Anolis sagrei: one gene and its partner. The protein of the gene in region 1 purifies or fractionates together with the protein of each later gene. This does not show direct contact. Links are inferred from orthologs where the notes say so. Each region holds a gene or a part of one and is shown on either strand. Other genes may lie near its edges.

What was found.
Region 2: the proteins of SDHAF1 (region 1) and SDHB purify together in Homo sapiens (co-immunoprecipitation; 3 studies listed by BioGRID and IntAct, with this or other methods). This does not show direct contact. The link is inferred for Anolis sagrei from reciprocal best matches to the Homo sapiens genes SDHAF1 and SDHB.

The regions. Positions count from the first base shown.
Region 1 is NC_090035.1:77,673,224-77,688,999, forward strand, and holds SDHAF1 (succinate dehydrogenase assembly factor 1, mitochondrial), read right to left. Parts: upstream 6,029-15,776; 5' UTR 5,918-6,028; intron 4,454-5,917; 5' UTR 4,404-4,453; coding exon 4,149-4,403; 3' UTR 2,267-4,148; downstream 1-2,266. Other genes in the region: tubulin-folding cofactor B, read right to left, coding at 12,150-12,267.
Region 2 is NC_090033.1:7,876,407-7,892,227, reverse strand, and holds the start of SDHB (succinate dehydrogenase [ubiquinone] iron-sulfur subunit, mitochondrial), read left to right. Parts: upstream 1-7,874; 5' UTR 7,875-7,908; coding exon 7,909-8,045; intron 8,046-11,419; coding exon 11,420-11,505; intron 11,506-13,969; coding exon 13,970-14,106; intron 14,107-14,227; coding exon 14,228-14,344; intron 14,345-14,466; coding exon 14,467-14,568; intron 14,569-15,821. Other genes in the region: MIIP (migration and invasion-inhibitory protein), read right to left, coding at 1,455-1,557, 1,640-1,843, 3,122-3,232. UniProt on the Homo sapiens protein: Iron-sulfur protein (IP) subunit of the succinate dehydrogenase complex (mitochondrial respiratory chain complex II), responsible for transferring electrons from succinate to ubiquinone (coenzyme Q).

The DNA of each region.
Region 1 (15,776 bases):
CAAAGCAGTTGACTTGGATTATATGGCCGTGTAGAAGGCTTCTGCAGCCACGTCGTCTGTCCCTTTGCCCGTTGGACTACACTACCAGGTCACGTGTGATCCAGGACCAAGTGATCCCAGTAGATCTCATAGTTCCTCTCATCTGTCCACTGTACCTCTAGTAGATTTTAGAAAAATGGCTTATAGTGGAAACAAGGATTGGCGAGAAAACTTCAGTGGAGACCTCTTTCCCCCTCATAATGACTCTTCCAGGGGTGGATTCCCCTTCCGAGGGGGAGATTCCCCTCACTTCCTATTGTCTCACCCCTGTTCTTAACTAGGAGTCGTTTGCAAGTTAGATATTTGTAACTCAGGGACGGCCTGGATATGTATAACGGGTGTTAGGGTGCATGGGAAAACCACTTGTTAGAAAACAGTAGCTTATCATGGAATGGCACAACACGACCTTGTTAGCTATCCATCTTGGCTTATCTTGTCTGGACTGATTGATGGCTTTGTTTTGAAGTGTTTCCAATTAACAAACAATTGCAGATCACTCCGATGCATATAGAAATCGAAGTTTTCAATGACTTCCAGGTACTGATCACTATCAATACTTGGAATGATATCAATACCATTAAAGGTGTAGGTGGAGGGTTGGTAGGATGCCATGAACGTGATTCCAGGTCAGGCTTTAAGCAGTTTGGCTGGGGGCCCTTCTACACTGCTACATAATCCAGATTATCAAGGTAGATAATCCACATTCGCTACTTTCAACTGGATGATATGACTACGCTGCCATATAATCCACAATTACTAACAAGGCCAGGGAAATTCACTCCTGGAAGAGTTATCATGGAGGAAAGGTATCTCCACTGAAGCTTTCTCACCAATTATTGTGAGGAGCCTCAGGTGGCAGTGGGTTAAACCCCTGTGCCGGCAGGACTGAAGACCGACAGGTCGCAGGTTCGAATTTGGGGAGAGGCGGATGAGCTCCCTCTATCAGCTCCAGCTCCTCATACGGGGACATGAGAGAGGCCACAAGGATGATAAAAACATCAAATCATCCGGGCGTCCCCTGGGCAACGTCCTTGCAGACGGCCAATTCTCTCACACCAGAAACGACTTGCAGTTTCTCAAGTCGCTCCTGATACCAAAAAAAAAACACAACAATTATTGTTTTCACTACAAGCCAAATTTTCCAAAATTCAATTATCACAGGGACAGGGGCACAGACACCCATTGAGGGCTATCTATCTATGTGGCAGGTACTGGCTTGTTCAATAGACTCTCCTATACAGTTCCATTTTGGCGGGAAACCTTAGCATCGAACGGTTGTGTTGTTAAAAGTGTGATGGTTGGTCAATGCGACTTAAACAACGTGCAGTCATTGAATTCTTGACAGCAGAAGGTATCACCCCAATAAATAATTCCCTTCAAAGTGATTGGGACAGTTATGTTAATTTTGTTGTTATTCATGTCCCACATTTATCACGAGACTCAAAACAGCTGAATATGTTGCATGCATTGTTTTTGTTTGGACTTGAACCCAAACACGTTCAAGTTGCTTCCAAGGAAAATGCAGGTTTCACCCCAAGGCCTGAAGGTATCACAGAACGCCATTGTGTTGACTTCCCAGGAAAAAAAGTAAACAGGAATGCAACCAATGCCTCGAAGGCGTGTTTTATATGTGTTGCAATGTTACCTTTCATTGTTCCAGAAGGAGGAGTCAATAAAGACACGGATCATGCAACGAAACGCCTTTTCTTTGGCAATTTAATTCTTGTCCCTTGCAGCCAAAGGATTGCTTTGAAACAAACACATTCGGCGGAGTGAGAAAAGGAAATAACACACAGAACGCCTAAACTGTCAGTGCTCAGAACAGCATCTCATGGAGTTCTTCAATAATAATAACAATTATAATAATCTGGTTAGCCTATCATGTAATGGTCTTTAATAATAATAAGTTTAATAATAATAATAATAATAATAATAATTATTATTATTATTATTATTAGAAACACAACAAGATGAGTCCACAGCAGACACTCCGCTGGCTGTTGTATTGGATCACACGTTGGACACTTCCCATGTGTCTAGGACTGTGTGATGTATCGGCAAATAATGCATGCAGATCCCAGTAAGGTGGCCTTTTGCAGCTGACAGATGGTAACTTTCTTAGCGCCGATTGTGTTTAAGTGCAGGCCAATGTCTTGAAGCACTGCATCCAGTGTGCCAATCACCACTGGGACCCCCTTGACTGGCTTGTGCCAGAGTCTTTGCAGTTTGATCTTTAAATCCTTGTATCGTGTCAGCTTTTCCAGTTGTTTCTCTTCAATCCTGCTGTCACCTGGGATTGCGACATTGACAATCCATACTTTGTTTTTTATTACGATTGTGAGGTCAGGAGTATTGTGCTCCAGAACTATTACTACTACTACTATTACTTTTATTATTATTATAATTAATGGATGGATGACATCCTTGAAGTGACTGGATTGACCTTGAAGGAGCTGGGGGTGGTGACGGCCGACAGGGAGCTCTGGCGTGGGCAGGTCCATGAGGTCATGAAGAGTTGGAAACGACTGAACATATAGACAACATTATTATTATTATTATTATTATTGGAAAAGCTGACACAATATGAGGATTTAAAGATCGAACTGTAAAGACTCTGGCACAAGCCAGTCAAGGTAGTCCCAGTGGTGATCAGCACACTGGGTGCAGTGCCTAAAGACCTTGGCCTGCACTTAAATACAATCGGCGCTGACAAGATTACCATCTTCCAGCTGCAAAAGGCCACCCTACGTGGATCTGCATGCATTATTCGCTGATACATTACACAGTCCTAGACACTTGGGAAGTGTCCGACATGTGATCCAATACAACAGCCAGGAGTGATCCTGTCTGCTGTGGACTCATCTTGTTGTGTTTCAAATAATAATAATAATAACAATAATAATAATATGTCCGACGTGTGATCTAATACAACAACCAGCAGAGTGATCTTGTTTGTTGTATACTAATCTTGTTGTGTTTCAAATAATAATAATAATAATAATAATAATAATAATAATGGAATCAGAAGGTTAAATAAACCCAGAAACAGGGCTAACATTGGAAACATAAAATGTGCATTGGCCAATGTAATTTCTATTTTTTATTGGCTTCTCTATTATTATTATTATTATTATCATTATTATTATCATTATTATTATTATTATTATTATTATTATTATTATTATTATTATTTTAGAAACACAACAAGATGAGTCCACAGCAGACACTCTGCTGGCTATTGTATTGGATCACACGTTGGACACTTCCCAAGTGTCTAGGAATTATTATTATTATTATTATTATTATTATTATGCAAAAGGATGCATTCATGGAACTGGTTTAAAGCAGCTTAACATCTACACTGCAGACTGAATGCAGTTTAACACCTTTTTAACTGCCACGGCAAGGCAATGAAAGCCCTGGGAGTTGCAGTTTTACAAAGAATGCAAACTACAGATCAAATTATTTCTATAGCAGCTAACGTGGTACCAAACGTCATTCATTCTACAGTGTAGAGATGCATCCAAGGTCTGCTCGGGGTTCTCTTATGACCTTGGAAGGATTAAAGAAACGGAACCAAATCATTGTTTCTCCACGAGATTCTGCAGATAGTAAGGTGCCAGTTATTCCTCCATTCAGTTAACTGAAAAACACAAAGTCAGCGGACCTGATGGGATCCCTGTTGAAATCTTTAAAGGTGGTAGACCTGAGCTGACACAACACCTCCAGCAGCTCAATCATTGTTTCTTCACGGGTTCTGCAGATAGCGAGTTGCCAGTTATTCCTCCATTCAATCATCTGAAAAATAACAAAGTCAACGGACCTGATGGGATCCCTGTTGAGATCTTTAAAGGTGGTGGACCTGAGCCTTCACAACAACTCCAGCAGCTCAAACATTGTTTCTTCATGGGTTCTGCAGAGAGCGAGTTGCCCGTTATTCCTCCATTCAATCACCTGAAAAATAACAAAGTCAGCGGACCTGATGGGATCCCTGTTGAAATCTTTAAAGGTGGTGGACCTGAGCTGACACAACAACTCCAGCAGCTCATTAAAAAAGTGTGGACGATCGAGAAAATCCCAGCAGGCTTCATCATCACCCGTCTCTGGTGTCATCTGTCTCCCTCCTCCCTGGTTTTGACGAAGGCCCCCATCTGCTTGGTATGGGTGTTCTGGAGCTGCTCCAGCTGCCTCTGTCCACGGCGGAGAAGGTACTCTACGAGCAGGACCTCTGTCCGTGGGATCTGTGCGTTCTGCCGGAACTCGGCTCGGATCTGCGGCAGGAAGCCCGGCTTGCCTTTCCCGGCCCGAAGGAAGCTGCGGTACAAGGACAGCACCTGCCTCTGGAGCTTACTGTGGCGGCCCATGGAGCAGCTCCTCCCAGTTGCAAGGATGGAGTGCTCCAGGTAAGCAAAGCCTGAGGAACAAAGACAAAGTGTCAGGATAAGAGTGAGGGGAATTAAATAGGCCAACCTGTATGTGTCGTTCTACTTTTAATACGTTTTGGAGATCTCAAATTGCATTGTTGTTAGGTTCTTGTGGGTCTTTTCGGGCTATAGAGCCATGTTCTAGAGGCATTTCTCCTGACGTTTCGCCTGCATCTATGGCAAGCATCGTCAGAGGTTGTGAGGTCTGTTGGAAGTAGGAAAAATGGGTTATATATCTGTGGAATGGCTGGGGTGGGGCAAGGAGCTCTTCCCTGCTGCAGTTAGGTGTGAATGTTTAGCTGATCACCTTCATTAGCATTTGAAGGCCTGCCTGAGCCTGGGAAAATCCGTTGCTGGGAGGTGCTAAACAACAGAGAGGAAAAAACCAGGCACAGATTAACACCTCCCAGCAACGGATTTTCCCAGGCTCAGGCAGGCCTTCAAATGCTAATGAAGGTGATCAGCTAAACATTCACACCTAACTGCAGTAGGAAAGAGCTCCTTGCCCCACCCCAGCCATTCCACAGATATATAACCCATTTTTCCTACTTCCAACAGACCTCACAACCTCTGAGGATGCTTGCCATAGATGCAGGCGAAACGTCAGGAGAGAATGCCTCTAGAACATGCCTCTATAGCCCGAAAAAAACCCACAAGAACCTAGTGATTCCAGCCATGAAAGCCTTCGACAATGCATTGTTGTTGTTTTTAATGTTGCGAATCACTTTGTATCTCCAATAATAATATAATAGCCCTTTTATTATTTGAATATCCGCCCTACAATAAGTAATAGCAGCCCTATAATAACAATAGAAGCTCTTTCATTATTTTAATAGCAGCCCTATAATAATAATAATAATAATAACAATAAGTCTCTTTATTATTTTAATAGCAACCCAATAATAGTAATAATAATATAATAGCCCTTTTATTAATTGAATACCAGTCCTACAATAATAATAAGTAGTATTAGCATCTCTGTAATAATAATAGAAGCTCTTTTATCACTTTAATTTTAATAGCAGCCTAATAATAATAATAATCCTTTTATGTTAATACCAGCCTAATAATAATAATAACTCTTTTATTATGTTAATACTAGCCTAAGAATAATAATTAGTAGCCCTCCTATTATTTTAATAGAGGCCTAATAATAATAACTTTTATTATGCTAATACTAGCCTAATAATACTAATTAGTAGCCCTTCTACTATTTTAATAGCAGCCTAATAATAATAATAATAATAGCCCAGGGATGTAGTAAATCCATATTGGCTGGCCTTCAGGATTTAGGGGGAAAGGGGTCAAGGGCAGGTCCATCATGCAACCTCATGGCAACCCCACCAGTCCCAGAGCTGGTCCTGCCCGTCCCTTCTCTTTGCCGGACTCCCACCCAGGCTGGCCCCCTTTGGGACCCCCTCCTGCCCTTCCCACCGGGCTCCCTTCTCGCTCACTCCTTCTCTCTTCCGGATTTCAGCTCCTAGGCAGGCCCAAGCCCGCCATTGCAGAAACCTTGGCGCGCCATCTGAGCCTCCTGCGCGCTTCCCATTGGCTCCCTGGCCCTAGAGGGGGCGTTCCCCAACTCTTGTCGCTCCGCCCATTCAAAGCACGTGTAGGCTTGGAGGCCCCGCCTATTTGGAATCATAGAATCCTAGAGTTGGAAGAGTCCAATCCCATTCTGCCAAGAAGCAGGACAATTGGGTTGTTGTAGGTTTTTCCGGGCTATATGGCCATGTTCTAGAGGCATTTTCTCCTGACATTTCGCCTGCATCTATGGCAAGCATCCTCAGAGGTGTATTGGAAGTAGGAAAATGGGTTTATATATCTGTGAAAAGACCAGGGTGGGACAAAGGACTCTTGTCTGCTGGAGCTAGGTGTGAATGTTTCAACTGACCACCTTGATTAGCATTTGATTGCCTGGCAGTGCCTGGAGCAAACTTTGTGTTGAGAGGTGATTAGCAGGACAATTGCGTTCAAAGCACCCCCGACAGATGGCCATCCAGCCTCTGTTTCAAAGCCTCCACCACACTCCGGGGCAGAGAGTTCCACTGCTGAACAGCTCTCAGAGTCAGGAGGTGATTAGCAGGACAATTGCGTTCAAAGCACCCCCGACAGATGGCCATCCAGCCTCTGTTTCAAAGCCTCCACCACACTCCGGGGCAGAGAGTTCCACTGTTGAACAGCTCTCACAAAGTTCTTCCTAATGTTCAGGTGGAATCTCCTTTCGTGTAGTTTGAAGACATTGTTCCATTGTGTCCTAGCCTCCAGGGCCTCCCTCCTCCCTATGACTTCCTCTCACATCTTGATCCATGGCCCTCATCATGTCTCCTTTCAGCCTTCTCTTCTGAAGTCTAAACATGCCCAGCTCTCTTTAAGCCGCTCCTCATAGGGCTTGTTCTCCAGATCCGTGACCATTTGAGTCACCCTCCTCTGGACACATTCCAGCTTGTCAACATCTCTCTTGAATTGTGGTGCCCAGAATTGGACACAATATTCCAGGTGTGGTCTAACCAAAGCGGAATCGAGCATGGGGAGCAGGACTTCCCTGGATCTAGACACTATGCTCCTCTTGATGCAGGCCAACATCCCATTGGCTTTTTTTGCCACTACATCACATTGTTGGCTCATAAGGCATTGAAGGCATTGTTCCATTGCATCCTAGTCTCTGTTGTTCATTCTTTCATTCGTCTCCGACTCTTCGTGACCTCATGGACCAGCCCACGCCAGAGCTCCCTGTCGGCCGTCACCACCCCCAGCTCCCTCAAGGTCAGTCCAGTCACTTCAAGGTCTCTAGGGCAGTAGAAAACAAGCTTGCTCCCTCCTCCCTATGACTTCGCCTCATATCCAGCCTCTGTTTCAAAGCCTCCACCACACTCCGGGGCAGAGAGTTCCACTGCTGAACAACTCTCAGAGTCAGGAAGTTCTTCCTCATGTTCAGGTGGAATCTCCTTTCCTCTATTTTGAAGCCATTGTTCCATTGTGTCCTAGTCTCCAGGGAAACAGAAAACAAGCTTGCTCCCTCCTCCCTATGACTTCCCCTCACATATTTATACATGGCCCTCATCATGTCTCCTCTCAGCCTTCTCTTCTTCAGGCATTTTGGGTGAACTGCCTAATAATTTCACAAACCCCGATGACATCTAGGCATTTGATAATGCAACAATGTTAACAGTTCTAATCACAGAGGAGGAGGGTTTTTGGTGGGAGGATTCCACCAAATGATTTTAGTCGCTCTCCTCTGGACACATTCCAGCTTTGTCAACATCTCCCTTCAATTGTGGTGTCCAGAATTGGATGCAGTGTGATTCCAGGCAGAATAGAGCATGACTTCCCTGGTTCTGGACACTCGACTCCTATTGACGCAGGCCAAAATCTGTCTTCTCCTGCACAGAAACCCTGAGGGCACCTAGACGGTCCTAACAATGGGTTGTTGTAGATTTTTTCGGCCTCTATGGCCATGTTCTAGAGGCATTCTCTCCTGACATTTCGCCTGCATCTATGGCAAGCATCCTCAGAGGTAGTGAGGACTGTTGGAACTAGGAAAATTGGGTTTATATATCTGTGGAAAGACCAGAGTGGGACAAAGAACTCTTGTCTGCTGGAGCTGGGTGTGAATGTCTCAACTGACCACCTTGATTAGCATTTGATGGCCTGGCAGTGCCTGGAGCAATCTTTTGTTGAGAGGTGATTAATGTTCCTGATTGTTTCCTCTCTGTTGTTTTGCTGTTTTAATTTTAGAGTTTTTTTAATACTGGTAGCCAGATTTTGTTCATTTCCATGGTTTCCTCCATTCTGTTGAAATTGTCCACATACTTGTGGAATTCAATGGTTTCTCTGTGTAGCCTGACATGGTGGTTGTGAGAGTGGTCCTCACAATATTGCTGGACATAGGAGATTGGCTTTACATAATGTGATAGGCTTTATGGCTCCTAAACTATAGAATTAATGCAGTTTGAACTACCTTGGCTTTTTAAGTTGGCTTTTAAGATAATTTCAGGGGGTCCTGGGGTAATAATAATAATAATAATAATAATGAACAACTTTGGGTTGCTGTGAGTTTTCCAGGCTGCCTAGCCATGTTCCAGAAGCATTCTCTCCTGACCTTTCGCCCAGTTCTACGGCAGGCATCCTCAAAAGTTGTGAGGTCTGTCGGAAACTACAACTCCCATCATTCCATAGCTTTGAGCCAAGGCAGTTCCAAATGGGATCATAGAAGACCTAGAGCATGAAAGGACCCACAAAAGCCACCTTTCTGCCAGGCAGGAAGATACCATCTGATCCCTCCTAGCAGATGGCCATCCAGCCTCTGCTTAAAAACCTCCAGAGGGCAATCCAACACACTCCCAGGCAACAGCATATTCTAGCATGCATACATACATACAGTGGGGGGGGGGGAGTATTTAGTTAGATAGGAATTGTACAAGTTCTCCCACTTAAAAAGATGAGATATTGTCTCTCATAGTTGAGGTCTACCTAAGATGTCAATCACAGGCCTCTCTCATATTTTTAAGTGGGAGAACTTGTACAATTCCTATCTGACTAAATACTTTTTCCCCCACTGTACACACACACACATATCTAAAAGGTAAAGGTTTCCCTTTGCTGTTAAGTCCAGTCATGTCCGACTCTAGGGGTTGGTGTTCATCTCCATTTCTAAGTCGAAGAGCCAGCATTGTCCACAGTCACCTCCAAGGTCATGTGGCCAGCATGACTATCTGGAGGTCCTGTTACCTTCCCGCAGAAGTGGCATCTATTGATCTACTCACATCTGCATGTATACGAACCCACACAATATCTTTGTTCATCTGGAGAGGCCCTGCTCTTGATCCCGCCAGCATCGCAGGCGCGATTGGTGGGGATGAGAGGGCCTTTTCGGTGGTGGCCCCTCGACTCTGGAACTCACTCCCTAAGGACATCAGACAGGCCCCAACTCTGGCAGTTTTCAGGAGGAGTTTGAAGACGTGGTTGTTCCAGTGTGCCTTCCCGGATTAATGATCCCATAGCACTTTGTCCCGCTAAAGCACTTTACATTTTTTAGGTCTGCCCATATGTCTCTCCACAAACACCACTATCACCTGTTCGTCCATGTTCAGCACTATTTACAATTTTAATTTTACATTTGGCCTTCCCATAGTTTTAATTGTATGTTGTCTTATTGATAATGTTATATGTTTATGTTTTATTTTAATTGCTTATATTGTTGTGATTATTGCTTGTATTGTGTGTTCGGGCTCGGCCTCATGTAAGCTGCACTGAGTCCCTTGGGGAGATGGTAGTGTTGTTAAATAAAGTGTTGATATTATTATTATGTTTTCATACTGCTAGGTTGGCAGAAGCTGGGGCAACAGTGGGAGCTCACCCGCTCCCTGGATTCGGACCGTCGGCCTTTTGGTCAGCAAGTTCCACAACTCAGTGGTTTAACCAAAACCTTTGGATGGCATAGGGAAGGGTTTACATGCCTGTGGTGTTTGTTTTGCTATCTGTGCCCTTCAGCTTTCACTGCCTGAACATCAAACAAAAAGTGGGTGCTAGAAACAATATCATACAAAAGCTGACTGGCACAACCTGGAGATCACAGCCAGACACAGTGAAGACATCTCCCCTTTGCTACTCTGCTGCTGAGTACGCATGCCCAGAGTGGAACACATCTCACCACGCTAAAACAGTAGATGTGGCTCTTAATGAGACATGCCGCATTATCACGGGATGTCTGCGCCCTCCACCACTGGAGAAATTACACTGTCTAGCCCAGGGGTCCTCAACCTGGGGTCCCCAGATGTTTTTGGCCTACAACTCCCAGAAATCCCTGCCAGTTTACCAGCTGTTAGGATTTCTGGGAGTTGAAGGCCAAAAACATCTGAGGACCCCAGGTTGAGAATCACTGGTCTAGCTGGTATCGCACCACCTGACATCCGCCGGGAAGTAGCAGCCAATAGTGAAAGGACAAGACAGAGACATCTCCAGCTCATCCCGTTTGGATATCAGCCAGCACGTCAACGACTTAAATCAAGACATAGTTTTCTAAGATCTACAGAGGCACTCTCTGGAACACCTCAGCAAGCTAGAGTCCAAAAGTGGCAGGCTCAAACCCAGAACCTCAACCAATGGCTGATACCAAATGAGAGACTCCCCCCTGGGCACACAGAGGACTGAGCGACTTGGAAGGCGCTGAACAGAGTGCGCTCTGTCACCACGAGATGCAGAGCCAACCTCAAGAAATGGGGCTACAAAGTGGAATCCATGACATGCGAGTGCGGAGAAGAGCAAACCACTGACCACCTGCTGCAATGCAACCTGAGCCCTGCCACATGCACAATGGAGGACCTTCTTGCGGCAACACCAGAGGCAGGCTCGTAGCCAGGATTTCGATTCGGGGGGGGGGGGGGGGGGCTGAGTTTGTTTCGGGGGGGGGGGGGGCTGAGTCTGAAAGAGGGTCTACGCTAGCAAACCTTTTGTATCGTTACCCCAATACCCCCATGCATATGGGATATATTGAGTATGGTGATCAGATCATGATATGAATAAACATAACAGTTTAAATAATGCACCAGTAAGTCCTTTTCGCGAACCACCATGAGAATTTCGGAGGGGGCTGAAGCCCCTCAAGCCCCCCCCCCCCCCCCGGCTACATGCCTGACCAGAGGCACTCCAAGTGGCCAGATACTGGTCAAAGGATATTTAATCAACTACCAAGCTTGCAAACTTTGTGTTTTGTCTGTTTGTTTGTTTTGTTAAAAATGTAATACAACTGTCTGCTTGCTCCTGACACAATAATAAATACCTCCAAGGTTATGTGGCCAGCATGACTGCATGGAGCGCCGTTACCTTCCCACCAGAGCGGTCCCTATTGATCTACTCACATTTGCGTGTTTTCGAACTGCTAGGTTGGCAAAAGCTAGAGCTAACAGTGGGAGCTCATGCTGCTCCTCGGATTCGAACCTGCAACCCTTTGATCATCAAGTTCAGCAGCTCAACGGTTTAACCCACTGCATCTACAAACATTTGTAGATGTTTGTAACTCTGGGACTGCCTGCAATGTGACCTCCCTCCCCAATTTTAGGACAATGCATGCCGAAGGTCAAATGAAATAAAACTCTCCCACACATTAATTCTTGTCTGGAATGTTTCTCCCCCCATTCAAAACATTTTTAATTTGTAATCATCACGTAGCATCTGCCAACAACACACACACTCACAAAAGTATCACAGAAGGGAAAAGAAAAGGCATGGTGTTGGAAATGTCCGTCTGGAATTGTTATATTTTTAAGGGCAGGGAAAGGCTTCGTACCCCCATCCGCTTCAAGGGCCACTTTCGGAAACGAGGGCCCTTGGCACACAAAAAAACCCACAAACAAAACCCTTCTCCATCTTCAGGGTTTCGACTACAAGGCCAACGCTCACATTCTCTATGTTACGGAACTGGTATGGATCAGGACACACTCAAAGGGATGCGGCACCTTTGCCGAATGAAACAAGAGGCAACTAGGGAAAAAGGGGGGAAAAAACAACCGACACGAGTCAAAAGGACACACAAGTGGCTTCCGCATCTTCTCTCTCCGGCTGGCCCCACATTCTCCCGGGTGGCGTCGGGACGCAGCCGGGCTTCGCAGCAGCAACCAGGACAAGTCCCACAACGGAGCCGGCAGCCGCCTTCTCCTCCGCTTCCGTTTCCGCCCGTCCTTCCTGTCACATCTCATCGTCCAGGCCGTAATCCTCTTCCGGGAAGTCCCCCACCACCACGTGCTGTGGCTTCACAAAGGCCCCGTATTTTGGCTGGCACTCAAAGTACCGCTTTCCACCGACGCTGCCAAGAGGAAGGGAAATTGCAGTGAAACTCTCACACCATCAGGTTTCTGCAATATCTTTTGTGTTGAAAGGCACTTTTTCTCATTTTAAGATCTATTGCATTACGTTTAACTTTGCATAAAAGTATCATTTTCTCCATCTTTCTATATATATAAAAATGCTCTGCATAATGAGTACCTTAAAAACAAAAGAACCAATGAACGAAATCACACCAAATTTGGCAACAAAACATCTCACTACGCCATCACTCAAAAAATTATGATCTTGTCATTTGGGAATTGTAGTTGTTGGGATTTATAGTTCACCTACAATCAAAGAGCATTCTGAACTCCAACAATGATGGAATTGAACCAACCTTGGCACACAGGACTCCCATGACCAACAAAAATACTAGCAGCGTTTGGTGGGCATTGACCTTGAGTTTGGGAGTTGTAGTTCACCTACATCCAGAGGGCACTGTGGACTCAAATAATGATGGATCTGGACCAAACTTGGCACGAATATTATATATGCCCAAATATGAACACAGATGGGGTTTGGGGGAAATAGACCTTGGCATTTGGGAGCTGTAGTTACTGGGATTTATAGTTCACCTCCAATCAAATACCATTCTGAATGAACACCACGAATTACAGAATTGGGGCAAACTTCCCACACTGAACCCTCATGACCAACAGAAAACACTTAAGGCCATCCAATCTAACTCCCTTCACCAGGGCAAGAAAACGTAATCAAAGCCTTCCTGACAGAGAGCCATCCAGCCATAGATATAGATATATATGATTCACACACACACAGATAAAGTATCATAGATTTGAAAGGGACCCCTCAAGAAGGGCAATGATATGTTGCATGTTCCAGAGTAGGCAAACCAGACAATCTCTACGTCAACACTGTCAAAGAAACAGCAAGAAATACTGTTTACCCACAAGCAGAAAGACATTACATATATTAGAAACAAGCACTTTCTAATTACTTTATTTTCCAGATCACCAGACTGGGCCACAGCAACGCGTGGCAGGGGACCACTAGTATCTATATATGTTTAAGTCAAAAGTATGTTTGTTTGTAACACACCTAAGCTGTTGCAAGGTGAAATGGCTTTGTTATTATTATTTTTGTGTCTGGAGCGACTTGAGAAACTGCAAGTTGCGCCTGGAGTGAGAGAATTGGCCATCTGCAAGGATGCTGGATGCTTGACCATCCCTATGTGAGGCTTCCCTCGTGTCCCTGCATGAGGAGCTGGAGCTGACAGATGGAGCGATAAGCGCCCTCCCCAAATTCGAACCTCTGACCTGTTGGTCTTCAGTCCTGCTGGCACAAGGGTTTAACCCACTGCACCACCGGGGCCCCTAATGGCTTTGTAATGTCACTGGATTGGGTGTTGCTAGGTTAAGTTGGGGGTCCTTCCAGACAGGTCCCATACTCCAGGATATGACCACAGATTTTCTGTTTATCCCAGATTATCCGGCAGCAAGGACTCATATAATCCAGTTTAATGCAGAAAACCTGGGATCAGATCCTGGGATATAGGGCCTGTCTGGAAGGTCCCTCATATAGAAAGGTGATATGTATGGAAGTGAAGGGGAAAGAAAGAGAGGGAGAGAGGGGGAGAAAAAGAAGGGATAGAAAAGTGACACGTGTGTGTGAGGAGAAGGGAGGAAAGGAAGGAAGGAAGGGGAAGGAAAAAGGTGATGTGTGTATGAGGGGAAGAGAGGAAAGAAAGAAAGGAAGGAAGGAAGGAAGGAAGGAAGGAAGGAAGGAAGGAAGGAAAAAAAGGTGATGTGTGTATGAGGGGAAGAGAGGAAAGGAAAGGAGGGAGGGAAAAGAAAGGTGATGTGTTTATGAGGGGAAAATAGGAAAGGAAGAAAGACAGACAGAAAGAAAAGGAAGGTGACGTGGATGAGGGGAAGGGAGGAGACAGACAGGGAAGGAAGGAAGGAAGAGGAAGGAAAAAAGGTGATGTGTGTATGAGGGGAAGAGAGGAAAGGAAGGAAGGAAGGAAGGAAGGAAGGAAGGAAGGAAGGGAAAAGAAAGGTGATGTGTTTATGAGGGACAGACAGACAGAAAGAAAGAAAGAAAGGAAAGGTGACATGTATATGAGGGGAAGGGAGGAGAGAGAGAGACAGAGAAGAAAGAAAGAAAGAAAGAAAGAAAGAAAGAAAGAGGAAGGAAGGAAGGAAAGGAAAGGAAAAGAAAGGTGATGAGTGTATGAGGGGGAGAGAGGAAAGAAAGAAAGACAGAAAGACAGACAGAAAGAAAGAAAGAAAGAAAGAAAGGGAAGGTGACATGTGTATGAGGGGAAGGAAGGAGAGAGAGAGACAGAGAAGAAAGAAAAAGAAAAAGAAAAAGAAAGAAAGAGGAAGGAAGGAAGAAGGGAAAAGAAAGGTGATGAGTGTATGGGGGGAGAGAGGAAAGCAAGAAAGAAAGAAAGAAAGAAAGAAAAAGAAAGGGAAGGTGACGTGTATGAGGGGAAGGAAGGAGAGAGACAGACAGACAGAGAAGGAAGGAAGGAAGGAAAGGAAAAGAAAGGCGGTGAGTGTATGAGGGGAAGAGAGGAAATAAAGAAAGAAAAAGAAAGAAAGAGGGAGGAAGGAAGGAAGAAAGGAAAGGAAAAGAAGGGTGATGAGTGTATGAGGGGAAGAGAGGAAAGAAAGAAAGAAAGAAAGAAAGAAAGAAAGGTGATGTGCATATGAGAGGAAGAGAGGAAACAAACAAACAAACAAACAAATAAAGATGACCTGTATATGAGGGGAAGGGAGGGAAAGGAAGGAGGGAGCGTGACCTGTGTATGAGGGAAACAACAACAACACAACTTTATTCAAATCCCGCCCCATCTCCCTGTGAGAAATATGGAGCACGAAAGAAGAAAAGAGCCACAAGGACAGCCATATTACCATGGAAACATTGTGAGGTAGACCCTCTCAGACCTTGAGAAGGGAAAAAGAGGAGGGGGAGAAAATAAAAAAAAGTAGGGAAAGGAAGGGAGAAGGAAGGGAAGGGGGGAAGAAGAAAAATGAGGAAAGGAAAGAAGAGAAAGAAAAGGGGGAAAGGTATGAGGGGAGGTAAACAGAAAAAAGGAGCCCCCGGTGGCGGTGGGTTAAACCCCTGTGCCGCAGACCAACAGGTTGCATGTTCGAATCTGGGGAGAGCATGGATGAGCTCCCACTATCAGCTCCAGCTCCTCATGTGGGGACATGAGAGAAGCCTCCCACAAAGACAATAAAACATCAAAAACATCCAGGCGTCCCCTGGTCAATTTCCTCACACCAGAAGCGACTTGCAGTTTCTCAAGTTGCTCCTGACACGACAAAAAAAAAAAAACCCAGAAAAAAGAGATGAAAGTTGGGGGGGGGGGGGGGTCAGTGGCCCTTGCGATACCCAAGCAAAGCCAGGTATATACTCCAGTTTAAAATCTAATACAAAGTAATGTATACAGAATTTGATAGATTAATAGTAGCTACAGTGTGTGCTTTAAAAGTGGTGGGAGAAAGAAAATCATTTTTG
Region 2 (15,821 bases), on another chromosome or scaffold:
TCCATGCTTTGGTAGTAATAGAAATATTATGTATTATTATTATTATTATTATTATGGAGACGTAGGAAGAGGCGGATCATACATTAAAAATAATTTAAAAATATTATTATTACTAGTAGTAGTAGTAAAAGTAGTAGTATCCATGCTTCGGTAGTAATAGAAATATTATGTATTATTATTATTATTATTATTATGGAGACGTAGGAAGAGGCGGATCATACATTAAAAATAATTTAAAAATATTATTATTACTAGTAGTAGTAGTAGTAGAAGTAGTAGTAGTATCCATGCTTTGGTAGTAATAGAAATATTATGTATTATTATTATTATTATGGAGACGTAGGAAGAGGCGGATCATACATTAAAAATAATTTTAAAATTTTATTATTACTACTAATAGTAGTAAAAGTAGTAGTATCCATGCTTCGGTAGTAATAGAAATATTATGTATTATTATGTATTATTATTATTATTATTATTATTATGGAGACGTAGGAAGAGGCGGATCATACATTAAAAATAATTTAAAAATATTATTATTACTACTACTAGTAGTAAAAGTAGTAGTATCCATGCTTCGGTAGTAATAGAAATATTATGTATTATTATGTATTATTATTATTATTATTATTATGGAGACGTAGGAAGAGGCGGATCATACATTAAAAATAATTTAAAAATATTATTACTACTACTAGTAGTAGTAAAAGTAGTAGTATCCATGCTTTGATAGAAATATTATGTATTATTATTATTATTATGGAGATGTAGGAAGAGGCGGATCATACATTAAAAATAATTTTAAAATATTATTATTACTACTACTACTAGTAGTAAAAGTAGTAGTATCCATGCTTTGATAGAAATATTATGTATTATTATTATTATTATGGAGACGTAGGAAGAGGCGGATCATACATTAAAAATAATTTAAAAATATTATTATTACTACTAGTAGTAGTAAAAGTAGTAGTAGCCATGCTTTGATAGAAATATTATGTATTATTATTATTATGGAGACGTAGGAAGAGGCGGATCATACATTAAAAATAATTTAAAAATATTATTACTACTACTAATAGTAGTAAAAGTAGTAGGAGTATCCATGCTTTGGTAGTAATAGAAATATTATGTATTATTATTATTATTATGGAGACGTAGGAAGAGGCGGATCATACATTAAAATAATTTAAAAATATTATTACTACTAGTAGTAGTAAAAGTAGTAGTATCCATGCTTTGATAGAAATATTATGTATTATTATTATTATTATTATTATGGAGACGTAGGAAGAGGCGGATCATACATTAAAAATAATTTAAAAATATTATTATTATTATTAGTAGTAGTAGAAGTAGTAGTAGTATCCATGCTTCAGTAGTAATAGAATTATTATTATCTATCTATTATTATTATTTTCCCAAGGTGACCCAGACATGACCTCCCACCTGACCTGCGATCCAGTCGTATCCGAGGAAAGGCCGGGTGGACCTTACTCCTAGGGGGGTCGCATGTTCTTCCGGGTCGGACACAAAGGTCACGCGAGGGGCTTCATTCTAGGAAAGGAAAAGGATGCTTCTGAATGGCGGGGTCCTATAAACGTACCCCGGAGGACCCAGGAAATGCCTAGAGGCGCACCTTCGGCTTCTCTTTCTGATGCGGCGTCAGCAGGATGGGCTTGGGCGCCGGCGGCATCTGAACTCTCGCCCTCGGGCGCCTTTCCTCGACCGCCACTTCCTCCTCTTTCCTGAGGCAGATATTTTCCACTTCCTGGGAAGGTCCGGAAGCTTCCGACGACGGCACCCAAACTATAGATTGTGGACACCGGTCTCGGCTCTCCTTCTGGCAACAAAAGCAAAACCATTATTGGACTGGATGACCTCTGAAGGTGCCTTCCAACCTGATGATCCTCTAGGACTAGATGACCTTCAGAGGCACCTTCCAGTTCTATGATTGGACTAGATGACCTTTGTGGGTCCCTTCTAATTCTACGATTGGACTAGATGACCTTTAGAGTTGCCTTCTATATCTATGACTGGACTCGATGACATTTGGGGTCCCTTCCATGTCCAGACTAGATGACCTTCAGAGGTCCCTTCCAGTTCTATGATTGGACTAGATGACCTTTGTGGGTCCCTTCTAATTCTACAATCAGACTAGATGACCTTTGTGGGTTGCCTTCTATGTCTATGACTGGACTAGATGACCTTTGGGGTCCCTCCCATCTCTATGTTTAGACTAGATGACCTTTGGGGTTCCCTTCCAACCCTATGATTGGACTATATGATGTTTGGAGATCCCTACCGTCTCTAGAATTGGACTAGATGACCTTCAGGTTCCCTTCCAACCCCATGATTGGACTAGATGACTTTTGGGGTCACTTTCATCTCTGTACTCAGAGTAAATGACCTTTGGAGGGGGGGGGTCCAATCCATCTCTGTGATCAGACTAGATGACCTTTGGAGATCCCTTCCATCTCTATGATTGAACTAGATAGCCATTGAGGCCCCTTTCAACCCTACAATTGGACTATATGACCATTGGGGTTCCCTTCCACGCTGTAATCAGACTAGATGATCTTTGGGGTCCCCTTCCATGATCAAACTAGATGATCTTTGGGGTCACTTCTATCTGTATGACTGGACTAGATGACCTTTGGAGATCCCTACCATCTCTAGAATTGGACAAGATGGCCTTCAGGTTCCCTTATAACCCCATGATTGGACTAGATGACCTTTACAGGTCCCTTCCATCTCTAAGATAGGGCTAGATGACTTTTGGGGTCCCTTCCAACCCCAAGATTGGACTAGATGAGTTTTGGGGTCACTTTCATCTCTGTACTCAGAGTAGATGACCTTTGGGGGTCCCTTCCAGCCCTACAATTTGACTAGATGACCATTGGGGTTCCCTTCCACTGCTGTAATCAGACTAGATGATCTTTGGGGTCACCTTCCACCTCTATGATCGGACTAGATGACCTTAGGGGTCCCTTCCAACGCTATGATCGGACTAGATGATCTTTGGAGGTCCCATCTCTACGATTGGACTAGATGAGCCTTGGGGACCCTTCCAACCCTATGATCGGACTGGAGGACCTTTGGGGTCCCCTTCCTATCATACCTCCTTCTGCAGGGTTGTGGACGATGGGACTCGCTTCCCTAAGGCTTCTTGGTTCGCTTTCAGCTTCTGCAAGAGATCCTGGTTCAAGAGGCGAAGCTTCTCCAAGTCCATCTTCCGGCTTCCAGAAATAGTAAGATTATTATTATTATTATTATTATTATTATTGATTAAGTAAGTTGGTTACTATTATCTATATTTATATATATATCTATCTATCTATATAATAAAAGTCAAAGTTTGTATGCGGAGGACAAAAGTGTGGTGGGAGGAGTATGTGCCAGCGTTCTGATTGGCTGCCGCTGTGGTGCTATTTGCATATGGTCTCTGATTGGCCAGCTTCAATAGGAGCCCCTGGTGGAGAAAAGAAACGGGGACATGAGAAGGAAATTTGCATATGGTCTCTGATTGGCCAGCCCCAATTCCAAGATTCCGAGATGACAAAGAGAGGGGCGGAGTCAGAAAATTACCACTACAGACCAAACTTGGCACACAGAGCCCGCAAGACCCACTCGACATCCTACTGCAGTTTGGAGGAGGATGAACCATGGATGATGGGACTTGCAGTCCCATCACTCACATTCTGAGACCGCTGTTAACCTCATCCAATGACTGATCAGGACCAAACTTGGCACATAGACCTCTCATGACCCACTTTACGTCCCGGTGTGGTTTGGTGGACCATGGATTATGGGACTTGCAGTACCTTTGCTCAATTCCTGAGACCACTGCAACCCTCATCCAATTACCGATAAAGACCAAACTTGGCACACTGAGTCTCCATGACACACTCTACATCCTGGTGCAGTTTAAAGGAGGATGCACCATGGACGATGGGAGTTGCAATACCTGCACTCCCTTCCTAAGACCATTACAACTGCCAACAATGATGGATCAGGACCACAATTTACACAGAGAACCCGCATGACCCACTCTACATCCTGGCGCGGTTTGGAAGAATTTGACAATGGATGATGGGACTTGCAGTCACTTCACTCACTTCCTGAGACCACTGAGATCCTCGCCAATGACTGATCAAGACCAAACTTGGCACATAGTGTCCCCATGACCCACTCTACATCCTGGTGCACTTTCAAGGAGGACAGACCATGGATGATAGGACTTCAAGTACCTCCACTCCCTTCCCAAGACTGCTGCAACCCTCATCTAATGTCCGATCAAATCCAAACTTGGCACACAGAGCCCCCATGACCCACTCTACATCCCACTGCGGTTTGGAGTAGGGCATACCATGGATGATGGGACTTGAAGTCCCTTCACTCACATTCTGAGACCTCTGCAAACCTCATCCAATGACTGATCAAGACCAAACTTGGCACATAGACCTCTCATGACGCACTTTATGTCCTGGTGTCATTTGGAAAAAAATGGAGATGGATGATGGGATTTGCAGTAACCTCACTCATTTTCTGAGACCCTCGCCAATGACTAATCAAGACCAAACTTGGCACACACTTTTGAGGAGGACAGACCATGGATGATGGAACTTCAAGTACCTCCACTCACTTCCCAAGGATACTATAACCCTCATTAATGACCGATCAAGACCAAACTTGGCACACAGAACCCCAATGACCCACTGTACACCCTAGTGCAGTTTGGAGGACAGACCATGGATGATGGGACTTAAAGTACCTCCACTCCACTGCAACCCACATCTAATGACCGATCAAGACCAAACTTGGCACACAGAACCCCAATGACCCACTGTACACCCTGGTGCAGTTTGGAGGACAGACCATGGATGATGGGACTTAAAGTACCTCCACTCCACTGCAACCCACATCTAATGACCGATCAAGACCAAACTTGGCACACACAGCCCCCATGACCCACCCTGCATCCCGGTGCTGTTTGAAGGATGGACGATGGATGATGGGACTTGCAGTACCTTCACTCACTTCCTGAAACCACAACAACCCTCATCCAAATACCAATAAAGACCAAACTTGACACAGAGAGCCCCCATGCCCAACTCAACATTCTGGTGAGGTTTGGGGGAAAACAGACTATGGATGATGGGACTTTAAGTACCTTAACTCACTTTCTGAGACCACTTTGACCCTCATCCAATGACTGATCAAGACCAAACTTGGCACACAGAGTCCCCATGACCCACTCTATATCCTGGTGCAGTTTGGAGGAGGATGGACAATGGATGATGGGACTCGCTGTACCTTCACTAACTTCCTGAGACCACTGTGAGCCATATAAATAACTGATAAAGACCAACCCGGGTCCCCAAGCTATATATAAATTAGACACACAGCAACATAAAACAAATGGATATTTAAATTAAATATATTTGTGCCTGTACATATAATAGTTGGAAGAGTGGAATAGGAATATAAATAGCAATAAGGAGTGTTTCAATGCAAACCTGAAAGCACAACAGAAGCCCAGGACTTGAACGTTGGTTTCCCTGTGACGTAAGCAACGCCTCGCGCCCTGATTGGCTAGTTCCCGCCTGAGGTTTCCTTTTCACATTCCACGCCTCTTAAAGGGGCCGCAACCTCTTTCCTTGCCCACGTGGGGTGCCTTATAGGACAATATGGTAGTAATGGAAATAGAATAATATCTACACCATAACATAACTAATGTTATTAATCATTAATAACATTCAGGTCTCGGCGGTGACCAGGGGAGCATTTGCACAGCTAAAGCTTGTGCGCCAGCTGCGCCCGTACCTTGGGAAGTCTGACTTGGCCACGGTAGTCCACGCTCTGGTTACATCCCGTTTAGACTACTGCAACGCTCTCTACGTGGGGTTGCCTTTGAAGACAGCTCGGAAGCTCCAACTAGTCCAACGCTCGGCAGCCATGATTTTAACAGGAGCGGAGCACAGGGAGCATACAACCCCCCTGTTGCGCCAACTCCACTGGCTACCGATCTGCTACCGGGCTGAATTCAAAGTGCTGGCGTTGGCCTTTAAAGCCCTAAACGGTTCCGGCCCAAGCTACCTATCTGACCGCATCTCTGCCTATGAACCCACCAGGACTTTGAGATCTTCCGGGGAGACCCTGCTCTCGATCCCACCTGCTTCTCAAGCTCGGCTGGCGGGGACGAGAGATAGGGCCTTCTCGGTGGTGGCTCCTCGGCTGTGGAACGCCCTTCCTACGGACATTAGACTAGCACCATCTCTAATGGTATTCCGCAAAAAGGTGAAGACCTGGATGTTTGTGCAGGCGTTTGAGTAATTTAGTGCAATCTGGTAATGGAACATAGGAATGGAACAATGGACGACGAATCTGGACTACACTTGGATGATGAGAAGATTGGGTACGGTTGTTTTTTGTAATAATTGTGCATTGTAATTGCTTATTGGTAATTTATGGATAATGTGTTAAGTCAATTGTTATATGTTGTATGGAACCACTGCTGTTTCTACTGTTTTTACTGTTTGTGAACCGCCGTGAGTCACCAATATTATTAATAGCATTATTAATAAATAGAATATACTAATATTATTAATATTTATATTTTATTTATTTACTTTGCTTATATACCGCTGTATCTCAAGCCCGAAGGCGACTCACAATAACATTACTAATAAATATAATATACTAATATTATTAATATTTATATTATACCAATATTATTAATAACATTATTAATAACTATAATATACTAATATATTAATAGTATTAATACTTATATTATATTAATATAATTGATAATATTTATAAATATATATACTAATATTATTGTTAATATTAAATATCATATACTGATGTTATTATTGATAATTCTTCTTCTTCTTCTTCTTCTTCTTCTGTTCTTCTGTAATAATACTATTTTTAATAATACATATAATATACTAATATTATTATACTGCTATAATATAATACTAATATGATTAATACTAATATTATTGTTAATATTAATAATAAATATAATATACTGATGTTATTATTGATAATAAATATAATGTAATAATACTATTATTAATAATACATATAATATACTAATATTATTATAATATAACATTAATATGATTAATAATATTAAATTTTTCCTACTATTATAGAACAAAAGTACTAATAGTGTTAAGAGCATAATGATAATATCTATCTATCTATCTATATATATTATCATTTAATATAATAATATATAATATATAATTATATATAATATAATAATATGATAATACTTTTTGTTATTATTTCTCTTTTTGGGGGGGCTGGACTGGATGACCTTTGGGATTCCCTCCCTAGAGAAGCCTGGGAGCGAAGGGAGGGAGAACCCAAGATGGCCGCCAGCTGAGGCTTCTTGCCCCTTCCCAAGATGGCCGCCGGCTGAAGTTCAATATAGCTGCGGACTGAGAAGGGCCCTTCCCAAGATGGCCGCCGGCTGAAGTTCAATATAGCTGCGGACTGAGAAGGGCCCTTCCCAAGATGGACGCCGGCTGAAGTTCAATATAGCTGCGGACTGAGAAGGGCCCTTCCCAAGATGGCCGCCGGCTGAAGTTCAATATAGCTGCGGACTGAGAAGGGCCCTTCCCAAGATGGCCGCCGGCTGAAGTTCAATACAGCTGCGGACTGAGAAGTGCCCTTCCCAAGATGGCCGCCGGCTGAAGTTCAATATAGCTGCGGACTGAGAAGGGCCCTACCCAAGATGGCCGCCGGCTGAAGTTCTATATAGTTGCGGACTGAGGAACGGCCCTTTCCAAGATGGCCGCCTTTTCTAGGACGCGTGCTCCCTTTTTCTCCTTCCCCGCCCTTACCGGAAGTGGTTACCACGGACCCTTCCGGAGAGAAGGAAAGGACAAGATGGCGGCGGTGACCGCGGCGGTGAGGGCGAGCGCGGCGACGGCGGCGCGGATCAAGCGGTTCGCGGTGTACCGGTGGGACCCGGACAAGCGCGGAGAGAAGCCCCGGATGCAGACCTACGAGGTTGACCTCAACAAGTGAGTCCTCGCAGCGGGAGGGCCCGAAAAGAGGCGCGCACCGCCTGACTCCCTGACCAACTTGAGTGCTTTGAGTAGGCCTTGAGTTGTCATATGCGTCTTCCGGGCTGCTTGACCCTCTCCTGACGTTTCCCCCAGGCAGGAAGCAGCCAGGCTTTGAAGCTGCGAGGCCATTCAGCGCCAATCAAGCTGGCCAGTGAGCTATTCTTGCTTATTACAAGACAAACTGAAATTATACAATTATACATTATTAAATTAAATTATTAAATTAATTTAAATTATTAAATTATACAAACTGAAATTAAATCCAGACAAGACAGAGGTACTCCTGGTCAGTCGCAAGGCCGAACAGGGCATAGGGTTACAGCCTGTGTTGGATGGGGTCGCACTCCCCTTGAAGGCGCAGGTTCGCAGCTTGGGTGTGATCCTGGATTCATCGTTGAGCCTGGATCCCCAGGTTTCAGCGGTGACCAGGGGAGCATTTGCACAGCTTAGGCTCGTGCGCCAGCTGCGCCCGTACCTTGGGAAGTCTGACTTGGCCACGGTGGTGCACGCTCTGGTCACATCCTGCCTCGACTACTGCAACGCTCTCTACGTGGGGCTGCCCTTGAAGACGGCCCGGAAGCTTCAGCTAGTCCAGCGCGCGGCAGCCATGTTACTAACTGGAGCGGGACGCAGGGAGCATACAACGCCCTTGTTGTTCCAGCTCCACTGGCTGCCGATCTGCTACCGGGCCCAATTTAAGGTGCTGGTGTTATCCTACAAAGCCCTAAACGGTTCCGGCCCAAAATACCTTTCGGACCGCATCTCGGCCTATGAGCCCACGAGGACTTTGAGATCGTCTGGGGAGGCCCTTCTCTCGATCCCGCCTGCTTCACAGGCACGTCTGGCGGGGACGAGAGAGAGGGCCTTCTCGGTGGTGGCCCCCCGGCTGTGGAACACCCTCCCTGTTGACATCAGACAGGCGCCCTCCCTTATGTCCTTCCTTAAGAGCCTGAAGACATGGCTATTCGAGAAGGCATTTAACTGAGTGCTACAGTAACTGGAATGACAACTGGAACGGTATATGGACTACGAGATTGGTTATGATTCCACGATAAGATGGAGCGGATTATTTTTAGTATAATTAGATGATTGTGCGTTAGTGATATGTTGGTTTTTTGTCGTCTTGGCTTTATTGTAAATTGTCTTTTATATGTTGTACACCGCCGTGAGTCACCCTAGGGCTGAGAACGGCGGTTAATAAATGCAGCAAATAAATAAATAAATAAATAAATAAATATTTATTTACTGTGCTTATAGACTGCTGTTCTCAGCCCAGGGGCAACTCAAATTGAAATTGAATCCAGACAAGACAGAGGTCCTACTGGTCAGTCGTAAGGCCGAACAGGGAATAGGGTTACAGCCTGTGTTAGACGGGGTTACACTCCCCCTGAAGACGCAGGTTCGCAGCTTGGGAGTGATCCTGGACTCATCGCTGAGCCTGGAACCCCAGGTCTCGGCGGTGGCCGGGAGAGCTTTTGCACAATTAAAACTTGTGCGCCAGCTGCGCCCGTACCTTGGGAAGTCGGATCTGGCCACGGTGGTCCACGCTCTTGTCACATCCCGGTTGGATTACTGCAACGCACTCTACGTGGGGTTGCCTTTGAAGACTGCTCGGAAACTACAACTAGTCCAGTGAGAAGCAACCAGATTGCTCACCGGAGCGACGTACAGGGAGCACACCACCCCCCTGTTACATCAGTTCCACGGGCTGCCGATCCAATTCCGAGCATAATTCAAAGTGCTGGTTTTAACCTACAAAACCCTATATGGTTCCGGCCCAGTGTATTTGTCCGAACGGATCTCCCTCTACATCCCATCTCGAAATTTAAGATCATCCGGGGAGGCCCTGCTCTCGACTCCGCCACTGTCACAAGTGAGGTTGGCGGGGACGAGGAGCAGGGCCTTCTCAGTGGTGGCCCCTCACCTGTGGAACTCACTCCCCGGGGAAATTAGATCAGCGACCTCCCTTCAGACGTTCAGGAAAAAACTGAAGACCTGGATATGGGACCAAGCTTTTGGACATGCTGGCAGCTAAAGGAAGATCCGACGACAAACATGGACGAATTGAATGGAATGGATACACGGAACTCTGAACACTGAGCATGAGATTGTTTTGCTATTTTATTATGTACTAATGTTTTTAACCTGTTAACTGTCTAAATTGTTGTACGTATTGTTTGCTTATTGATTCAGGCATCGAATTGTGCCGTTGTTTGTAAGCCGCCCTGAGTCCCCCCTCGGGGGTGAGAAAGGCGGGGTATAAGTAATTGAAATAAATAAATATCAAAACCATCGTCATCAACAACATCAAAAATCTCAATATCAGTAATACAAAACTACAAAAAGCCATTCGCGTCGTCTCATCGTTAAACCACAATCCAGTATCGTTTTCCGTTGTTCCATTCCTGTCGTCATTACCAAATTATTGCACTTCTTGTTCGAACGCCTTCTCGAACAGCCAAGTCTTTAGTTTCTTGCGGAATGTCATCAGGGAGGGCGCCAGTCTGATTTCCGCGGGAAGGGTGTTCCACAGCTGAGGAGCCACCACCAAGAAGGCCCTGTCTCTCGTCCCCGCCAGGCATGCCTGTGAGGCAGGCGGGATCGAGAGCAGGGCTTCCCCGGACGATCTCAAAGTCCTGGTGGGCTCATAGGCCGAGATGCGGTCAGATAGGTATCTTGGGCCGGAACCGTTTAGGGCAGGGGTCAGGAACCTTCGGCCCTCCAGGTGTGGTGGACTTCAACTCCCACAATTCCTTGGGCCAAGGTAAGCCTTTGGGGCGAATGCCGAGCCTCAAGGAATTGTGGGAGTTGAAGTCCACCACACCTGGAGGGCCGAAGGTTCCCCATGCCTGGTTTAGGGCTTTATAGGCCAACGCCAGCACCTTGAATTGAGCCCGGTAGCAAATCGGCAGCCAGTGGAGCTGGAACAACAAGGGCGTTGTATGCTCCCTGCGTCCCGCTCCTGTTAGTAACATGGCTGCTGCACGCTTATTCAATTTGCTTATGCAATGGATGACGAATCTGGAACATGTTTTTGATGACAAGACGACAGTGAATGGGTTGTGTAATGTGTTAGGTTGTTAACTGTTTCTATACCGTAGCACTAAATTTTTGCTGTTCGTATTTGTTGTGAACCGCTGTGAGTCGCCTTCGGGCTGAGAACAGCGGTATATAAGTAAGGTAAATAAATAAATAAAATAAATATTATGTTGTCGCTTGCTGTAAGCCGCCCCGAGTTCCCTTTGGGTGGGCAGTGGGAGATCAATAACGCTGTATTATTACTATTATTGTTATTATTATGACTGTTGTTATTCTTGCTTTCCCGGCAGATGCGGCCCGATGGTGCTGGACGCCCTGATCAAGATCAAGAACGAAATAGACCCCACGCTCACCTTCCGGCGCTCCTGCAGGGAAGGTCGCGATCGCCCTTGAGTAGCAGTAGCAGTATTATTATTATTATTATTATTATTATTGGCCAGTCTGTGGTCCTATGTTGTTGCTGTTGTTGTTATTACATGGCTGTAATTATCCAATAGTTTTATTATGACTTTGATCTATATTCCAGTATTATTATTATTATTATTATTATTATTATTATTGGTCTATTGATGATCCTATACTATTATTATTATTATTATTGGTCAGTCTGTGGTATTATTATTATTATTATTATTATTATTATTATTATTATTGGTCTGCCTATGATCCTATGTTATTACTATTGTTGTTGGTCTGTCTATGGTCCTATAGTATTATTATTATTATTATTATTATTATTATTATTATTATTATTGGTCTGCCCATGACCATATATAATTATTGTTGTTGGTCTGTCTATGGTCCTATAGTATTATTATTATTACTATTATTACTATTATTATTATTGGTCTACCTATGATCCATCATCATCATCATCATCATTGTTGTTGTTGTTGTTATTGGTCTGCCTATAATCCTATATTACTATTGTTGTTGTTGGTCTGTCTATGGTCCTATATTATTATTATTATTATTATTATTGGTCTGCCCATGACCATATATAATTATTGTTGTTGTTGGTCTGTCTATGGTCCTATAGTATTATTATTATTACTATTATTATTATTACTATTATTGGTCTACCTATGATCCATCATCATCATCATCATCGTTGTTGTTGTTGTTGTTGTTGTTGTTATTGGTCTGCCTATGATCCTATAATATTATTGTTGTTGTTGGTCTGTCTATGGTCCTATATTATTATTATTATTATTATTATTATTATTATTATTATTACTAATATAGGACCATACTACTACTACTACATGGCTGTGATGATCCTATAGTATTATTATTATTATACTTATCTATGCTCTATTATTATTATTATTATTATTATTACATGGCTGTAATTATCCAATAGTATTATTATGACATTGATCTATATTCCAGCATCATCATTATGAATATTATTAATATTGGTCTATCAGTGATCCTATATTATTATTATTATTATTGGTCAGTCTGTGGTACAATATTATTATTATTATTACTACTACTACTACTACATGGTTGTGATGATCCTATACTATTATTAATATATTGATCTATGCTCTATTGTTATTATTTTTATTTTTATTATTGACCAGTCTGTGGTCCTATGTTGTTGTTGTTGTTGTTACATGACTGTAATCATCCAATTGTATTATTATTATTATATTGATCTATGTTCCAGCATCATCATCATGATCATCATCATTATTATTGGTCTATCGATGATCCTATACTGTTATTATTATTGGTCAGTCTGTGATACTATATTATTATTATTATTGTTATTATTATTACTACATGACTGTGATGATCCTATAGTACTACTGATAGAGAGAGCTCATCCTCCTCTCCCCGGATTCGAACCTGCAACCTATCTAACAACAACAACAACAACAACAACAACAACAACAACAATGGATCATAGGTAGACCAATAATAATAATAATAATAATAATAATATAGGACCATAGACAGACCAACAACAACAATAATAACATAGGATCATAGGCAGACCAATAACAACAACAACAATGATGATGATGATGGATCATAGGTAGACCAATAATAATAATAATAATAATAATAATACTATAGGACCATAGACAGACCAACAACAATAATAATTATATATGGTCATGGGCAGACCAATAATAATAATAATAATAATAATAATAATAATAATAATAATATAGGACCATAGACAGACCAACAACAATAGTAATAACATAGGATCATGGGCAGACCAATAATAATAATAATAATAATAATAATAATAATAATAATGGATCACAGGTAGACCAATAATAATATAGGACCATAGACAGACCAACAACAATAATAATACTATAGGATCATGGACAGACCAGTAATAATAATAATAATAACAACAACAATAATAATGATGGATCATAGGTAGACCAATAATAATAATAATAATATGAGACCATAGACAGACCAACAACAACAACAATAATATATGATCATGGGCAGACCAATAATAATAACAACAACAACAACAACAATGATGATGGATCCTAGGTAGACCAATAATAATAATAATATAGGACCATATACAGACCAACAACAATAATAATATAGGATCATGGGCAGACCAATAATAATAATAATAATAATAATAATAATAATAATGGATCATAGGTAGACCAATTATTATTATTATTGGTTTGTCTACCTACCTCAGGGGGTTGAGAAGGGCAGAGTACAAATATACAAAATATAAATAAATAAATAAATAAATAAAGGAACAGGTCCCAACTCAGGCCAATTGGGCCGTGTGGACAGGAAGGGTCCGACCTGGCTGAGCGCCCTCTCCTTCTTCCCTGCAGGGATCTGCGGCTCCTGTGCCATGAACATCGGAGGCGGGAACACCCTGGCCTGCACTAAGCGCATCGACACCGACCTCGGACGCACCACCAAGATCTACCCGCTGCCCCACATGTTTGTGGTCAAGGACCTCGTTCCCGTGAGTGGCAAGCAGGCCTGAGGAATCGTCGGGATGGGGGCAGAGGGGAAGGGTCTCGCTCTCGGGGCCTTCAGGGTCAAGCACGCATCCCTTGACGGGCGCCCCTCTTCCTCCCTCTCAGGACCTGAGCAACTTCTATGCCCAGTACAAGGCCATCCAGCCCTTCCTGAAGAAGAAGGACGAGTCCCGCCAAGGCCAGGAGCAGTACCTCCAGTCCATCGAGGACCGGGAAAAGCTGGTCAGCTCCTGCCTCCCTCCTCCATCCCCACGCCTTTCTGGGGCCCCACACGGAGCCCCCACTGCGCCAAGGGAGGCCCCAGGCTCAGCTCTTCTCCTCCTCCCTTCTCTCCCTCCCTGCAGGACGGCCTGTACGAATGCATCCTCTGCGCCTGTTGCAGCACCAGTTGCCCCAGTTACTGGTGGAACGGGGACAAGTACTTAGGCCCCGCTGTTCTCATGCAGGTAAGCAGAGCACACCTCAGTAGGTGTTAGTAAGCCTCAGTGTGAGGTAGGCCTCAGAATGAGCACGCCTCAGTAGGTGTTTGCGGGCCTCAGTGTGAGGTAGGCCTCAGAGTTAGTAAGCCTCAGTGTGTGGAGGGACTTTTGTTAGTAGGCCCACTCACCCAACCAATTACTGCCATTGTTGTCATTATACTTCAGTATAAGTAGGTGTGCCTGTAGCTTAGTACGCCTCAGTGTTAGTTGCCCTCAGTATGAGAGAAGCTTCGGTATGAGAAGGCCTCAGTACAAGAAGGCTCCAGTGTTAGTTTGCCTCAGTATGAGCACGCCTCAGTAGGTTTTAATATGCCTCAATGTGAGATAGGCCTCAGAATTAGTAAGCCTCAGTGTGTGGAGGGTGTTTTGTTAGTAGGCCCACTCACCCAACAAATTACTGCCATTGTTGTCATTATAGTTTAATATAAGTAAGTGTGCCTGTAGCTTAGTACACCTCAATGTTAGTTGCCCTCAGTATGAGAGAAGCCTCAGTATGAGAAGGGTCCAGTGTTAGTTGCCTCAGTATGAGCACACCTCAGTAGGTGTTAGTAGGCCTCAGTGTGAGGTAGGCCTCAGAGTTAGTAAGCCTCAGTGTGTGGAGGGTCTTTTGTTAGGAGGCCTACTCACCCAACAAATTACTGTCATTGTCATTATAGTTCAATATAGGTAGGTGTGCCTGTAGCTTAGTACGCCTCAGTGTTAGTTGCCCTCAGAATGAGAGAAGCCTCAGTATGAGAAGGCTCCAGTGTTAGTTTGCCTCAGTATGAGCACACCTCAGTAGGTGTTAGTAGGCCTCAGTGTGACGTAGGCCTCAGAGTTAGTAAGCCTCAATGTGTGGAGAGTCTTTTGTTAGTAGGCCCACTCAGCCAACAAATTACTGTCATCGTTGTCATTATAGTTCAATATAAGTAGGTGTGCCTGTAGCTTAGTACGCCTCAGTGTTAGTTGCCCTTAGTATGAGAGAAGCCTCGGTATGAGAAGGCCTCAGTATGAGAAGGCTCCAGTGTTAGTTTTCCTCAGTATGAGCACACCTCATACTGAGGGCAACTGAGGGCAACTCAGTAGGTTTTAGTAGGCCTCAGTGAGAGGTAGGCCTCAGAGTTAGTAAGCCTCAGTGTGTGTAGGGTCTTTTGTTAGTAGGCCCACTCACTCAACAAATTATTGTCATTGTTGTCATTATAGTTCAATATAAGTAGGTGTGCCTGTAGCTTAGTACGCCT